2 linked regions of the Canis lupus familiaris genome follow. The protein of the gene in region 1 binds, or shares a complex with, the protein of each later gene. Links are inferred from orthologs where the notes say so. Each region holds a gene or a part of one and is shown in the gene's direction. Other genes may lie near its edges.

The links.
Region 2: the proteins of CINP (region 1) and C15H1orf109 are in contact, whole or in part, in a cryo-EM structure (PDB 8RHN), measured with the Homo sapiens proteins. The link is inferred for Canis lupus familiaris from reciprocal best matches to the Homo sapiens genes CINP and AIRIM. Residues at the interface, in NP_116019.1 of Homo sapiens: Leu161, Leu162, Thr165, Glu169, Asp177, Leu178, Leu180, Ser181, Tyr182, Ser184, Met185, His188, Pro190, Tyr191, Val192, Glu193, Ser194; in NP_001289959.1 of Homo sapiens: Leu107, Gln110, Ala113, Ala114, Asn116, Leu117, Phe119, Val122, Ala124, Leu125, Phe128, Pro129, Asp130, Leu131, Arg134, Leu135, Lys138, Gln139, Ala142.

What each region holds. Positions count from the first base shown.
Region 1 is NC_049229.1:70,737,480-70,742,010, reverse strand, and holds the start of CINP (cyclin-dependent kinase 2-interacting protein), read left to right. Parts: upstream 1-1,520; 5' UTR 1,521-1,656; coding exon 1,657-1,663; intron 1,664-4,531. UniProt on the Homo sapiens protein: Component of the DNA replication complex, which interacts with two kinases, CDK2 and CDC7, thereby providing a functional and physical link between CDK2 and CDC7 during firing of the origins of replication.
Region 2 is NC_049236.1:4,889,743-4,893,734, forward strand, and holds the end of C15H1orf109 (uncharacterized protein C1orf109 homolog), read left to right. Parts: intron 1-1,431; coding exon 1,432-1,550; intron 1,551-1,743; coding exon 1,744-1,781; 3' UTR 1,782-3,263; downstream 3,264-3,992. UniProt on the Homo sapiens protein: Part of the 55LCC heterohexameric ATPase complex which is chromatin-associated and promotes replisome proteostasis to maintain replication fork progression and genome stability.

The sequences.
Region 1 (4,531 bases):
CAGGGCGTGATCCTGGAGACCGGGGATCGAGTCCCACGTCGGGCTCTTTGTATGGTGCCTGCTTCTCCCTCTGCCTGTGTCTCTGCCTCTCTCTCTGTCTCAATAAATAAATAAAAATCTTAAAAAAAAAAAAAAAGAGAAAGACAATGTGGCTCCAAAATAACTTAAACCTCTGAAAACCACTTGCTAGTCACTCCTCCAGGAGGGCTATCCGTATCCCATCCTCTCCACCATAGTCTCAAGGCCAGTCCTGAAAACTCAGGGAGAGCATCCCCCCTATTTGTACAGGCTGGTTCTCTGGTTAGAAAGCTCCCTGAGGGCAGTGGGCAGCGACTGGGACCACAGCATCCCTAGAGCCTAGCACATGGCTGACATTCAAGGGACCCCGAATAATCCCTGGTGAATGAACGAACATGGGATGTAAGCTGACATTTCAAACAAAACAAAACAAAAAGCCCTACAAGGTCAGAAACCCTATCAAGGTGCACTTCACTGGGTGTGAGAAAACACAAAAAGCCCTGCAGCTTAGGAGACACTGGCGACTACACAGGATACAGTGGCTTTACTCCCAGATTCTGCTCATGCTGTGTTTGCAAGAAGTGCGCGGGGGTGGGTGGGGGTGGGGTCACCCCCAAGTGCAACGCATCACTCCAGCAGATAAAGCGTGCACCCAGGCTGGGACCCCACAGTCCCGCCAGCAGATGGAACAGAAGGAACAAACGTAACAGACTTAAGATTCCTGAGTGTCAGCGAGAGAGTGAGGAAGGATCCAGAGCAGGGAAGGGAAGTGGAAGTAGAGCATGTGGGCAACCACAGCAAGGGGCGACCCTTTAGTGAAGTGTATCAGGTGCCAGGCTCGGTGCTCAGCACTTCGCACGCACGGACCCACCTGATCCTCCCACCCAGGCGTAGAAGGCGTTATCATCCCCGTTTAACGGATGATAAAGCTGCAGCGCAGCGACGTGGCATCACCTGCGCCGAGCGCACGGCTGGGGGGTCTGAAGCCGGGGCACCCCCTCCTTGAAGCCTCCCAGGCCTTAAGGCAGGACTGGGGGGGGGGGGGCATTCACCCTCCTGAACACCTGGGGGTGCGTGCCCAGGTCTACGCCAGCAGCGCCAGGGCGCGGAGGGTCGGGGGACCGGGCGCAACGTCAGGCAGGCAGGCGCCGCGGGCGGGCCGGCAGGGGGACCGAGGACGCGGGACGGGGGATGAGGGATGACGGCCCAGGGATGAGGGATGAGGGATGAGGGATGAGGGCCCGGGGATGCGGCGGAGGACCGCCCAGCCTGGCGCCTCAGGTGCTGGCGCGCGGGCGAGACGGGCAGGGCGACCCCAGGCGCCGAGGCCAGGGAAGGGCGGCCCCGGGGAGGCCGAGGAAGGGGCGCGGAGGAAGGGGACTCACCTCCCGCGGCGGCCCCTCCGGACTCGTCGGCCGGGCCCGGCCGGAGGAGGCGGGGACGGACTCCGGGCCGCGGGGGCTGCCGGGAGCCCGTTCCCTAGGCAACCGCGCCAGGCCCAGCTGAGCGACAGGCGGGGGCTAGAGCGGCAGAGCCACAAGTGGCGGCCGGCCAGCGGCGCGGAGCGGAAGCACGTCAGCGCGCTTCCGGTAGGCGTGGGCGGGGCTTCGCGCTCCTTCCCGGGATACCTGCGGACGCATGGCAGGTGGGTGCGCGCGCGCGGGGGAGCGTCCTGCGGCTCGGCGGGCGGTCCCGGAGCCCACCGGCTTGACCGGGCCTCTGTGGTCTTCCCGCGTAGAACTACTGGATGTGTGCGAGGGAGTGTCAGCACATCCTGACCCCCCAAATTGTAATTGTCTTTGTAAACTAGCGCTAGCGGGGGTGCTCGGGTGCCAGGGCTTGCATGCCCAGCTCCTCCCAAAACCTTTCCCTGAGTTCCCCTCGGGATTACCCGCCGCACAGAGCCCTTTGCTTCTAATAAGAGCTGTCAATCGGCGAAGTGCTCGCTGCGTGCCGTGTGGTGCCCTTAGTGCTCTGTGGGTCAGCTCGTTTGAGCCTCACCTTGATCCCACGTAGTAACGTGCGCAGGTTGGGAGGATCAGGGAGGGAGCCGCTATGCTGAACCTCTCTGCTCTGTGCTGGGCCTCTCGTTCCTGGTCTCTTTCCCTCCTGGCCTGGGGTCCCTTGGAGTTAGATCTGTGGTTTGGGTTGCTAAATATGGAGCAGACGGAGAATGAATCAGATGTGGTCTTCGCCCTCAAGGAGCGCCTACTGCAGGAGAGAAACCCTTAGGAGATGATAGTGCAGGTGGTAAAAGCTATTTCTCCATTTAACACATTTCATTTGTCACCTACTGTGTGTCTAGGTTAGGAGAGGGAAACAAGACATAGTCACTATTCGGGTGGCCTCACAGTCCACCCAGCAAGTCTACCACACTAGTGAGTGTCGGTGATAGTTCAAGAAGAGGTGCGACATCTAGTGCAATGAGTCCTAACCCAACCTGGGAGATCCAGGAAGATTTCTTTGTGGAAGGAGTGGCTTTCTGAAAACCTAAATCAGATCATATCACTTTCCTACTCAAAGCTTATTGGTTCCTTTCCACTGACTTGGAATAAACCTAAACTCTTTATCTTAGTATGTAAGGTTCCATTTGCTTGACCGCTTCCTCACCCAGATCCCTCCCCACCACCCTTCCATTATAAGTGATGTGGGGTCATGGAGCACAACAGTCAAGAAAGAATTCTTGGGATGTTGCGTGGTGCAACTTAGTAAGTTTATTTAAGTAGCCTGGGGACAGAACCTGTGGGCAGAAAGGGCTGCATTTTTGCGGTATGAAGCTGGTGGTTATATGCTTAGTGGTCAAGGGGGAGGAGACATGCAGAGGGTATTATACATGTTTCCTTGAATTTCTACCCATAAAACTACTTTTGCAACATTTCTCTGGTGCTTATCATTCAGTTCGATATTAACTATCAGTGAGATTTACAGACAGTTATGAGACCCTTTAAGAATGTAGCAACCGGGATCCCTGAGTGGCGCAGGGGTTTGGCGCCTGCCTTTGGCCCAGGGCGCGATCCTGGAGACCCAGGATCGAATCCCACATCGGGCTCCCGGTGCATGGAGCCTGCTTCTCCCTCTGCCTGTGTCTCTGCCTCTCTCTCTCTCTCTCTCTTTGTGTGACTATCATAAATAAATTAATTAATTAATTACAAAAAAAAAAAAGAATGTAGCAACCAGGGGCACCTGGTTGGCTCAGTGGTTGAGCTAAGTCTTTGGCTTAGGTCGAGATCCCAGAGTCCTGGAATCAAGTCCCGCATCAGGCTTCCTACAGGAAGCCTGCTTCTCCCTCTGCCTATGTCTCTGCCTCTCTTTCTATGTCTCTCATGAATAAATAAATAAAATCTTTAAAAAAAGAAAAACCAAAAACTTAAAAAAAAAAAGAATGTAGCAACCAGCACGTTTTATTATTATTATTTTTTTTAACCAGTACATATTTGATCTTTGTTCAGAACTATGTAGACTAAAGGTCAGCCTTCTGGGCTAAAGGTGAACATTTTTCTGCTTCTGCCCTCATCGTAGATACACTGGCCTTGCTCAGTTTTTCAGACTCACCAAGCTCATTCTCACATTAGGACCCATACTGTTGACCTTTCAACAAGCCTAAATAACATCTCTTCAGGGGTTCACTCTAACACAAGACCCCATTTTCTTTTCTATCCGGGCACTTACCAAGATACAAATTGGTCATGGTCATTTGGTTGTCTATTATCCACCTCCTCTTTGGAAAGTAAGTTCCATGAAAATGGTCCTGGTATGATTCATTCAGTCATTTCATCCCCCGTGCCTGGCATATTGTTGGTTAGTGGTATAAGTAAAGAATGAAGGGAAAACCAATATGATCCTTAAATAAGCAGAGCCTTAAAGAATACTAGGAGTTAGCCAAGTGAGTGGAGACACACATGGCCAGGGGAAATATTCTAGGTCAAAGTCAGAACTTGTACAGAGCTAGCCCTAAGGCATGGAGAGCAAGCTGGGGGAAGCTGGAGAAGTGGTAGAAAGGACTTGCATAACAGGCTGTGATATTGTGGTTTATAATAAGAAAATATTTGGTCTTTTTCTTGTTCTTGGCACAGAGGTAAAACCCTTGGTGTTTCTGCAGTGTGAGAATGAGCAGGATGTCTTGTTATGTTGATAAGGTGACTTTTGGGAAGGTGACCTTTGGATGGGGGCTGGTTCCCCCCTACAGAAACCAATCATGTGATTATTAAAGGGTTAGAATTTTCAGCCCCACCTGACTCCCCTGTGCCTCCAGGGGAGAGGGGCTGGAGGTTCAATCAATGGGCACTGCCCAGTGACTTAATCAACCATGCCTATGCAATGAAGCCTCCATAAAAGCTGACAAGGATGGGATTTGGGGAGCTCTAGGTTGATGAACATGTGGAGATTTGAGGAGAATGGTGTACTACTCACAGAGCATGGAGACTCTATGCCCCTTTCCGCATACCTTGTCCCCTGTATCTCTTCCATCTGGCTCGTTCTGATGGAAAGAAAAATAAATGTATACTTACATTTC
Region 2 (3,992 bases), on another chromosome or scaffold:
AGACTGGAGTGAGGAAGGGGAGCCCGATAGGAGACGGATTCCGAGAGACCGGGCCGGACCTTGCAGAGCCTCGGAGGTCTTTGAAAGGATCTTGGCTTCGACGGGAAGCTATTCAAAGGTTTTGAGAAGAAGGTAACAATCAGCCTGTGTTTTTGATGGAGCCTCAGCCAGCAGTACTGAGCACTGATGACGTGCCAGGTACTGTTCTGAGAAAGTCCACACGACCCCTTGGCAGGTGCTTTGATTCTGTTCCCTGGGCCCTCGTATCTTCCTTCTGTATCTGCACTGCCTCTTCCGTAGTTTCTTGCCTCTCGTGTGGCCCCTGGTCTATGCAGCCTCTTGATAGGTTTCTCCACCTCTGGCTTCTTTCCCTCTAAGCTGGCTCCAGCCGCTGTGACCTCACTTCCTTCTGAAGATGTCTTTGTTCTGCCCGTTGCCAACATTGGAGTTTTGAGCAGCTTCCATTGCTCACGGACCGGAATCCCCATGGTGGTCTTCAGTGCTCTTTATGTTCTGGCTCGACCTGCCTTCTCAGCCACCTTCCCTGCTAATGTTCCTTGCTGGCCAGATGGGAGGATTTACTAGGCCCTGAAACCAGTCCGTGCTTCTCCACTTCTGTGCCTTTGCTTACGCCTTTCCTGCCAGCTGGAATCCTTCTGCTGCCACCCGCCCCGCCATCCCCCCCAGCCAAGGGAGGTTTTCATCCTCGGAACTGCTATACAGTTTCCCCTTTAACGTCACTGAGATTGTATCTTTTCAGTTCCTGGCTTGCTTTTTTTTTTTTTTTATGGTGAGATCCTAGGTTGTTGGGGTAACATTTCATCCCTCTGGCCTTGTAGCTCTGTGAGTGAGGAGGTGCTCGGTAAAGATCGGTAGCGTTGGTGAGTCCTGCCACCTGGTAAATGGAAAGATAGGCCACCCTTTCACTCTTCTGGCTCCCGGTCGCTCTCCCCTGGGCATTTTTCCCCTTCAACATCTTTCTTTTCTTTTCTTTTCTTTTCTTTTCTTTTCTTTTCTTTTCTTTTCTTTTCTTTTCTTTTCTTTTCTTTTCTTTTCTTTTCTTTTCTTTTCTTTTCTTTTCTTTTCTTTTCTTTTCTTTCTTTCTTTCTTTCTTTCTTTCTTTCTTTCTTTCTTTCTTTCTCCTTCCTTCCTTCCTTCCTTCCTTCCTTCCTTCCTTCCTTCCTTCCTTCTTTCTTTTTTTAAAGATTTATTTATTTATTTATGAGAGAGAGAGAGAGAGAGAGGGAGGCAGAGACACAGGCAGGGGGAGAAGCAGGCTCCACGCCGGGAGCCTGATGTGGGACTCGATCCCAGGACTCCAGGATCATGCCCTGGGCCAAAGGCAGGTGCCAAACCGCTGAGCCACCCAGGGATCCCTTCCCCTTCAACATATTTCATTTGCTTTTTGGGTAGTCCTTAACTTCCAGGAAGTTACCTGAAGAGAAAGTACCTTCTGTCCTCGATCCAGTGGGGAGACTTGGCAAACATCCAAGCTTTGCCCAAGGCCTGGGACCAAATTTCAGAAGATGAGCACCAAAGCCTTGTACAAGGTGCTGGTTTTCATTTATTACTTCATGTCTGCTCTGTGTGTGTGTGTGTGTGTGTGTGTGTGTGTGTGTCTCTCACTTCTTTGGAAGCATTACAGAGATGCCCTTGCAGTGCGTCTGTGTTTCTTATAAATCTGATGTTTTGCATTCTCTGGAGAGGGTGATATGCTACAGTTTTTCTCTCCTCCTATTCCAGATACCCTGTTGAATGTTTCCTTTTTCCTGGAAGAGTAAGAAAGCTGTGTGTTTATCAGCAGACAAGGGGGACGCAGCTGAAGACTGACATTGGTGCTTTCTAGTGTGGTGACCTGACATACTTGAAAAATCAGTGCCTAGGGCAGCCCGAATGGCTCAGCGGTTTAGCAGCACCTTCAGCCCAGGGCGTGATCCTGGAGACCCGGGTTCCAGTCCCACATCGGGCTCCCTGTAGGGAGCCTGCTTCTCCCTCTGCCTGTATCTCTGCCTCTTTCTCTGTGTCTCTCATGAATAAATAAATAAAGCCTTAAAAAAAGAAAAGAAAAATCAGTGCCTAGAGCCTGAGGACAGGCTTCTGATGTTGGGACCTCTCCCTGCGACATCATGGCTGAGGGCACATGGGCCACCGCTTGGCCTTTCATAAGCTTGGGAATGGAAGGAGGCAGAGAGAATGGGGGAAAGCAGTGCAGAACACTGGGGCAGGAGCCGCTGCCACAGAAGCAGTGGGGAGGGAGAGGGGAGGGAGTGTGGCCTCGCCCTCGGCATCATCCAAAGCTCTGAGCTTGGTTGACACCTGGCCCTGTTCCGTGTATTTGGGTCAGTACCTGATTCCTTGATGGAACAGGATTCTTCTTGATTTAAAGAAGTAAAGGTGATATTGATGGAAGACAGTACAGATCTTTCTCGATGGGTTACCTCCTGATAATCCCATCATAAGTTGAAAATATCGGAAGTCAGAAATGCTCTTAATACACCTAACCTACCAAACCGGTGCCCAAGCACTCACACTAGCCTACAGTTGGGCAAAAATCATCTACCACAAACTTACAATGAAATGTTGAATATCTTCTGTAATTGGTTGAAAAACAGAATAGCTGTACGGGCACAGAATGGCTGTAGGTTGTTTGCCCCTGTGATCTCTGGGCTGACTGAGCTGTGGCATGCTGCCGCCGCCCAGCATCACAAGCATGCCGCAAGTTGCCAGCCCAGGGAGAGAGCCACATTCAAAATGTGTAGGACGGTTTCTGGTGGACACGTGTGGCGTTTTGCACCATCCCATCGTAAGAGTCGAAAAACCGCAAGTCAAAGCGTCGTACCTCCCAGAGTGTCCCTGTTCCCTAACTGCTGTAGCTCCTCACTGTCCGGACAGCTCCAGTTTCTAGAGCCACCACCAGGGGGAGGTGGTGCAGCATGAATTATGCTCAGGGCTCCGACTTTGAGGAGTTCTCTTGTCCCCCTGTCCCAGTTAGTAGCTGGGGAGAGCAAGATGGTTACAATGACAGGGGTTTTGACCAAAGCTGGCGCCTGATTCACCACATTGTTTTGATCTGAGAGTAGCTCCACGGTGGGAGAAGACCTCCCCGAATCAGGCCCTGGGGGTTACATTTCTGAAGCCCATTGCCTTCATCTGTAAAATGGTCGGGTATTTCCAGACCTATCAGCTTCGGGGGTTGTGGAAAAATCTGGGTCACTGAATGTAAAGAGGCTTAATAAAGAGTATAGATATTTTTAAAATGAAAATGACTTTTTTCCTTACTACAAAAGTGATATATATATATATATTTTTTTTTTAAATCATAGAAATGAAAAAAAATCATAGAAATGTCAAAAAATTCTTAAGTGTAGAAAAGTACAAATAAAGCTCCATCAGTGATATTTTGATATATAGACCCTTACGGTGTCCATATTCACACACACAAAGAAACCAAACCCAAATATAGCGTCATTGATCTATCTATAGGGTTATTTAATCTTTTTTTTTTTTTAGGGTTATTTAATCTTGTTCAAAAAACATAGTTTGCCCATCTTTTCGTATCTGTAAAAATAGCTCAACACAATTACAGTAGATACTATTACACACATCATATACCATTTTGTGAACGTATTAGATTTTCTACTTTTCCAAACCTTCATGTGTTTGTGCCTGTAAAGATCTCACATTCTGGTTGCGAAAAACAGAAATATCACAGAAAGTGAAAACACATGGTGTCTTCTGTTTTTAACAATATGGTAGACATTCCTCCAGGAATTTAAAAAACGTATCACATATGTAATAATTGTAAATAAAACTTAACTCAAAAGACATTTGGGTATCAGGCCATAAGATACACTCTGGGGGCAGATGAAAGAGATCCCTAGAAAGATTTATAGTCCAACCAGGGAAAGCTTGAAACCAGCGTCTCTCAAGGTTTAACGTGTATAGAAATCACTGGGCTCTTGGTAAAATTTAGATTTGGATTCTGCAGGCCT